Linked DNA regions of Caenorhabditis elegans. The protein of the gene in region 1 interacts with the protein of each later gene in a pairwise test. Each region holds a gene or a part of one and is shown on either strand. Other genes may lie near its edges. The genes, in order: ceh-2 and tbx-9.

Region 1 (3,926 bases):
CAAAGTTGAGTCGATGCACCATGTCTCAATGGAACTATTACCGCTCGTATCTTGATTCAAGATAAAGATATAAAAAACTTTTAACTTCCAAATTGTAGAAAAACTTCTGATAAGTAATGTTATAGTTGACAAAATTTTGACATCTTTGAAAAAAACCGAGATATGAGCTTCCAAAGGTAAATCGGTAAGTTACTTTTAGTTTTATCAAAAAACAACGAATTAATAAATTATTGGCCAAAAAGTTTTTTATATTTTTGTAGTCAAACATTTTCTGATTTTTTTTACATATTCTTTCAGATACAATATTCCATAATTTTATACTTAGCCTCACTCTAACGTTACACAAATTCAAAGATGCCTACCCAAGCCATTTGTTGCGCTCAATACATGGCGCATCGACTCCACGTTTCGTATTCACTTAGTTTTTTGAAACATTGACTGTGAAATACTTGTGAAATACACCTGTTTATCATAGAGAAAACCCGAAAACTTGTAGAACATGTTATATAACGTGAGGCAAGCGCGGGCAAATGAAGGGAAGGGTCGAGGCGCCCTTTTCACGCCTCGACCGTGAAAGAGGAAAAACTCGGTCAATTGTAACAAAAGAGTTTAAAATTATCCGCAGTTGTGTGGAAGAGAACTCTTTCAGTTTCTGTGAGTGGCCGAGTTTTCTGTATCGTGCGGCCACGTGTCAAACACGAACACTCACCTGTGTTTCCGTTAAGCTCAACTTTGCTGCCAACTGTTTTCGCTCATTTCCCACGACGTAATGATTTCCTTCGAATGCCTTTTCTAGTTGTATCAGTTGAGATGCACTAAATGCCGTTCGAATTCTTTTGTTTTTTCGGAGAGGTTGAAGAAAGAGCCCAGCTGTGACGTCACCTGTAAAAATTTTATATTTTCTCAAGTTTAAAGTCTTTATAATTTATTTTAGGAAACTCGATTGATAATCTTACCGAATTGTGCAGCTGTCGTACTTTGCAACAATTCAAGCCATGGATGTTGCCATACAGATCCGCCAGCACCTGTATTCAAATTCTGATCTCCACTGCCTGATGCTCCAATACCCGAAATAAACGGATTCGAACAAGCCATTTGAACATGCGGAAGAAGAACGTCAAAATATGAGAGTGTCTGTGAAAGTGGCTCATTCTTTCCTGATTTTTCACATAGTTCATCGTCTTCTTCGTCTTCTTCTAGCTGGGATTTATTTGACATTTAAGTTTGTTTTTTTTTTTGAAAAATTTGAAAAAATAGCATGGTGGAAGAGTTTGTTTTCATGGGGCAATAATTTGCAATATTCTGCTCAATAGTTGATTTGTATTTTAAAAGTACGTTTAAAACTTTACAAACGGAATTCGTAAAAGAGGAAATAAGTGGAAACTAGGTCACGGTATGTAAAGGAAACTGACTAAAAGCAGGCTTCAGCCTTTGAGTTTAAAAAAAGTAGCCTCCAATGCGGATTTGAGCTCTACGGAATTTACTGAATTATTATATTTGAAAATTCGTATTTTTTCACTCATCTTGGACAGTTTTGAAAACCAACATTTCTATGCAATAATTTACAGATTTAAAGTCTAGAAAATTATCTAGGGACAACTTATACATTAGACAAGAAAAAAAAATTTCGGAGAGCTAAATTCCCCACAATTTTTTTGGAACCTCATTTTCAACTCTAAAGACAAGATTTTTAAATCTTATAATTCCAATTTTCACTTACTTTTTTCAAATTATTTTGCTCTTCCACGTCGGCTTCTTCCGATTCCTTCTCACTATCCACCAGTCGTTCCACCGAAAATTTCAGAGTCATTTTCACTCCGAATATTAGAAAAAATAAGTAAACTAGCCAAAAAGGGTAAGTTGATTTCCCAAATGAGAACCTATTTTACTGAATCTCATCTTAGGCTCCGCCCAGTTTCGCGCAAAAGAGGGAGGAGCGTCGATGGGTAATTGGACACAGTAGCCGATAAGGTAGAAGCTCTTAGAAGAGAGATCATTGGGAATAAAGAGACGATAGACAAATAAAGAATTGAAAAGAATAGGAAGTAGGTTAATAAGTTGAAATATTAATTTGAGGTTTAAAGTTTTGAAAACTCTCATGGTGTAATCACAATTCATTGCATTCTTTTGGAGCAATGTAACGTCAGCGATAGTCGTCGTCTTAGGGATTTCTAGTACATATATTGTTGCTTTCACGAACATTTTTCTTGACATATGAATTAAATCTCCAGACTTTAATAAGTAGTTTATGTGGAAATCGGCAATATCTCGTGGTGCCCTGTTTTTACAACTCGTCTACTCGGCAACCGGGTGCCTATGTAATCGGCAACTGGGCGACCGAACTACCTTGTGTACACATGCTCATGATGATGCTCATTGTCCCGAATTAGAAGATGAGTTGGAAATGGAGATTGAAAATGTATCCGAAATATGTACAAATCGCAGATCTCGGATTACATCTTTTGTGCGCCCGAAAGCAGCGGACGTTGGGCTCAGAAATAGGTATATTATGTTAGTAATCGAGGTGAAGTGAGCACGAGATGAGCACAAAATTTATAAAATTGTTCAAAAAGAAACTGAAGAGAGTGGGATTCGAACCCACGCCCCCGAAGGGACTGGTGCCTTAAACCAGCGCCTTGGACCGCTCGGCCATCTCTCCGACGACAGCAACAGGAGCGAAGTGTGTAGAGCAGCAGGTGGAATATCAAATGTCACTCTTTGGGGTTTTCAAATCAAAAAGGCTTAAATCAACTTTTCAGAGAGCAATAATTTCCGAACAGCATACAAGATTGTTATTATATAATAGATTCAACCTCTACGTTGGATAGACACTGACGACATCGAGATTATGTAATTGTGTACCAGACTCGGCGGAGGTAACCTGACTCGCCGTGAGCTGAGCTAGCGCCCATATTTATTCATTATTATTGTTATAATAAATAGGTCATTAGAAGGGTAACAAAGAAGTTGTTATTGTTGAATATGCGAGAATTTTTGAACAGAAACGAATGGGTGGGTTTACCCAAAATCCAGGGTGGCGAAAATACTTTACTCAACTGAAAAAGTCCTAACAAGGGAAGTCTTTGAGGGGGTCCGTAGATTTGGGGTTCTCATGCTAAAATTCCTACAGAAGAGTGTTAGTTATGATCTCTCCAAAAAATTTAGCTGCCCAGGTCAAGTTTCAGCAAAGTTAAGACGTTTTGAAATTTCAGTTAAAAACACCATTGAAATCCACTGTCTTACCATGCAATCCACGCAAATCTCAGCTTGCGTGACCACCGAAAATGTGACACCCACCACATTGAGTTGTAAAATGTCCTCGGTGGCCGAGTTGGGAGTGCGCGCGTCTGATAAGATTTAAGCTTTGGTTCGATTCCTTCTATTTTTGAAATATTTTTGTAAGTTGAATAAAGTTGTAAAACAACTCATTCAAACATTTTTGCGCATTTTTAAAGTGATTTTATTCTTATTCGGGAACCTAGAATCATTGTCCGCACTTTTTGGAAATTTTTATTTTTTTCATTTTTGCTCAAAATTTCTTGATCAACTCCAAGCAAAAAATTCAAAAAATTTCATTTTTCTAAACAATTATGAAATTGCTATGTTGTTGTTCAGAAATGTATAAAACGTACATTACACAAGTTTTAACTCTCTATTCGCAAGTAAACCGTCGAAATGATCTACATCTCACGAACTTTGTGCAAAATATTTAACCAACTTTGAAGTTGCATAACTTCGTTGAGATAAAATATTTTGAAAAATGATCAACTAACAAAATGTTTGTTGAATAATAGTGAACAAAGTTTTAGTTATAAACTTTTTGATACCTTCAGCCACCAAAACGTTGTGACCGTTTTCCAAAACACAATGTTAATAGAAAAACTAGCCAAATGCCAACCTTGTTTTCTTCTTTGTAGCTGGAGGTA
Region 2 (3,926 bases), on another chromosome or scaffold:
AACGAGGAGTTCGCACCTGTGGAGGAGGATATACATTTAATTAATAGGTATGGAATTGAATTAATAAATTTAAAATTTTATTTTGTTAGGGAAGGAATGTGATTTTTAAATTTTTTGAACAAGTGTTTTAGTGTTTTTAAAAACATTTTAAAAGCAGGAAACCTCAATTTTTGTGTTCCTGGGAAAAAAAAATTCAGAACAACTAATCAGTGATTGTAAACCTTATCACCTGTATATCCATTGACGCCAACTAACAATTGTGGAGGTTATAAATCCGCCACGATGTTTATCGACCACCTGATTTAGAGGTACCCCCCGTAAAAACACCGACTCGGAGAGTTTTGGGAAGAGTAAAGTTTTACAGCTTTTTTTTTGGTGTTTTGGAGATCAGTCTTATTTTCTAGGAAAATGGGGCTAATGGGGTCGGAGAAATTTGGGTTCAGATAACAATTTGGGAAACGATTATCTCGAAAAGCTTCGAGTTTACCGAATAGTTGCCAACTGACAAAATATAGCTCTGGAAATTATGAACAATCAGTTAGTTGACAAATTTTTGATAGCTGCATCCACAAAAAAGTTAGACCCCGGAAAAAAATTGAGTTTTTTTTTGAAAGTTGACATCTTTTTGATAGCTTTTGGGAAGACGAATATATCAAAATTATCCTGACTTATAGACTTAAAAGGTTTGCTCAAAAATTGCTCAGAAATTTTAATGGATCTGCAAAATTTGGAGAGTTTTTCCTAATATTTTTGAGCAATGTTTTAGAACATTCGTTATGAAATTCGAATTTTTAATATCACTTTATGTCTAAAAATGCAAAATAATTTTGATCCGTTAACCAATGTTTTCTTTTATCCATTTTCCTTCAGCTACCAATTTTTACACCTCCAGTCAATACTGTCGGTGTTCTATCAAAAGAGCCCACTACAACTAACCGGCTCAAAAATTTTACAACGTATGCTCTTTTGGAGGTAACCGACAAAAAAGGGGTATACTTGGAAATGGTATATTATCTGGAAATAGAAGGAGGGTTTGAAGATGGAATAATGGGTAATTGTGGAAGGTATGAAAATGTAAAATGGTAAAATCTTTATTTTGAAACATTAAATAAAGTTATTTTTTTCAAATTTCGGTTTTTATATGGTACAAAAAAATTCAGTTTACATTAATTTTTACTGTCATTCTTTCTTGAGAAAAGTGATCTCAAAGTAAAAATATACAAAATCCATACTGTCGATAAGCATGGTATACATAGCATAATTCTTTAATTAATAAGGAAGTTGTATCATCTTTAAATTTTGAACATTTTTTGAAGTTTACATAAAACCAACATTTTCGGACCGTCTTCTCTATTTCTATGCCACATCAGAATTTGATCTCCCAATTTTGTTTTGAAAGTATACCCAACTCTTTTGATCTACCAGTCAGCCGCCAAGTCTTCCCAGAATCGATAGCCGAGAGGGCCACGCGCACAACCTGCCCGCCCTTGCAGAGGGGTGTGGTTTGGCAATGAGGTGAGATGGGGTGAAGATGTGCACAATTTCTCACTTCTTTGTCTTAAATCACCATTTTTTTGTGATGACATCTCTATCTTATCGTGTTTCTTATTTTTCTATTTTTTTGTTTTCTTATTTTTGAACGGCGGGGATATCTCAGACGTTATCTCAAAACTGGCAAGAGATACCAAATAGTTGTCAACTAACAAAATATTGCAAATTTTATCATTGTTGCTTTGTTAGTTAACAACTTTTTGCTAGATACCACCGTTTTTAAGTTAGAATAGTTTTCCCGCTCCTCCTTCTCACTGGTACCACACTCTAAGCAAGTGTAGCTGCCAAACCGGTGAGAATATAACATTATATCTTATACCATTTTCCAACTTTTTTTTTGCTGTTCGTTTTCATAATATATTTTAACGTTTTCAGACAAAAAATGTCCAAAGTCAAAGTATCAATCGAAGGATCCCAAGAAACTCTCTGGAAGATATTCCACGCAGAAGTCAACGAGATGATTGTCACGAAGAACGGCCGAAAGTTGTTCCCAAAGTTGGAATATATAGTCGAAGGGCTTGATGAAAACAAGCTGTATGCAATAATGCTCCAATTACAACCAGTTGGAGAAAGTCGATTCAAGTTCAGCGGTGGAAAGTGGCAGGAAACGGGCAAAGCTGAGAAGCAGGTCGACGCGAAGAAGATGTGGCATGCTGATGGAGTTCGGAAGGGAAGGTGAGTGTGACATAGGAATTGGAAGATTAGAAGCTATGAAGATTTGTAAACTGACATGATTATCAAAATAGTGAGAACCATTTTGTCAATTGGCAACTTTTTTTAGCTCCGCCCTGGTATTACAACTTCAAAGCGCCATATCTCAGCGGGCTTGGAAGTTTTAAAAAAGATGTTAACTGGAAAATTGTTAACTGATTTATCATCTACAATTTGCCAGTTGACAACTTTTTTCTAGCTTGAGCCATTGAAGAGTTAGAGCTGCCGACACTGGCATTCAAATGCCTTTGGAATATTTTGAGGGTTACATCTCATCTAACATTAAAGTTTTCAAAGTTTGTCGTTTGTCAACTGACAACATAATTCAGATGAAAATAATTCTAAATTTGCTAAATTTATATCTTCAAAGTAACCCCAATTAATTTCAGTGACTGGATGTGGAGTTCGATTTGCTTTGATCGTGTGAAAATCTCCAACTATTCAGAGTCCAACAACGCTTCAATGGTAGGATTTCAACTTTAAAATTACTTGGCAATTTCCAATTTAAAATTGAAATTTCAGATTTACCTCAACAGCATGCACAAGTACATTCCAGTGCTGACAATCTACGAGTCTCCATCGGAGAGCCCTTTCTGCGTCCCACAATCCTCAAACCAAATCGTCGCCACCGCCAAATTCCCTCATACCGAGTTTATTGCAGTAACGGCTTACCAGGTTAGTATTGAGAGTAAGAGTATTAGCGCATGGATCTTATCTCGGAAGAATCAATATTTTGTGAACAATGGGAAATCTGGGAAGGAAGGGGGAAGTCTTGTCAACCATCATACTTATCAAGAAGTCGTTAACTAATAATTTGTAACCCTAGTTGTAAAGATTAATTAGTTAGTTGACAAGTTTTTAATAGAGTTAAAAGAAGGAGAGTTACACTTGCTCAAAATTTGGCTCTATTTATAAATTTGAAACTGCGCTACTTTAAGCACTCCTACCTCGCCAATAAAAAGAGCTATATAAAAGTTGTCAACTACAAAAATATTGCTCGCTTTGTGATCCATAATATGGTGTTTAACAATTTCTTAATAGATTCTTTGTTTTCAAAGATAGAGAGAGTTGAATAATAAACCTAATTTTTCCTCATTTCAGAACCAAAAAATCACCGACTTGAAAATCAAGCACAACAGTTTTGCCAAAGGTTTCCGTGACGGGAACTTGAGTCGCAAGAGAAGATCACCATCATATTCCGACGGCAGCAACTCACAGTCCCCATCGCCAAAATCCAGATCACCACCGGAGGTCGCACCTCTTCAGTCGATGCCTCCAATCAACCCATTTCTTTTTTATTTTCCCCATATGTTATCTGAAAATCTTCCAGTCCAATTTCCATTCGCTTTTCCATTTCTCTCGCCTCTCCCGTCGACTCCTTCCAGCTCGAGCAGTGAGCTGAGCATTGTGAAGGAGGAGGATCAGGAGGTAGAAGAAGATATTGATATTGTTGGTTGATAATTTTTATGCAAACTGGTCGCTTTTGATATCATGTAATCAAAATTTTTAATATATAAATATATAAAGCTTTATATTTTCAAAGAAACGACTTTTTGAAGACCCGCCGATTAAATTAGAAGTTTGTCGACTGAAAAAGGCAGCCTAGACTGCTAGCCAACAATTTTTATACCTACAATACTTAAAAATGTATTGTTTAAAGGAAC

Evidence for each region.
Region 2: the proteins of ceh-2 (region 1) and tbx-9 interact in a two-hybrid assay, tested with the Caenorhabditis elegans proteins (one large-scale study listed by BioGRID).

The regions. Positions count from the first base shown.
Region 1 is NC_003279.8:6,048,578-6,052,503, forward strand, and holds the start of ceh-2 (Homeobox protein ceh-2), read right to left. Parts: upstream 1,875-3,926; 5' UTR 1,811-1,874; coding exon 1,721-1,810; intron 1,201-1,720; coding exon 957-1,200; intron 883-956; coding exon 710-882; intron 1-709. UniProt on the Caenorhabditis elegans protein: Required for activity of the M3 pharyngeal motor neuron.
Region 2 is NC_003281.10:10,339,859-10,343,784, reverse strand, and holds tbx-9 (T-box transcription factor tbx-9), read left to right. Parts: upstream 1-1,926; 5' UTR 1,927-1,933; coding exon 1,934-2,226; intron 2,227-2,651; coding exon 2,652-2,727; intron 2,728-2,784; coding exon 2,785-2,937; intron 2,938-3,363; coding exon 3,364-3,720; 3' UTR 3,721-3,779; downstream 3,780-3,926. UniProt on the Caenorhabditis elegans protein: Transcription factor. Involved in the control of early morphogenesis of the intestine, hypodermis and body-wall muscle. Involved in regulating expression of vab-7. Appears to have partially redundant function to tbx-8.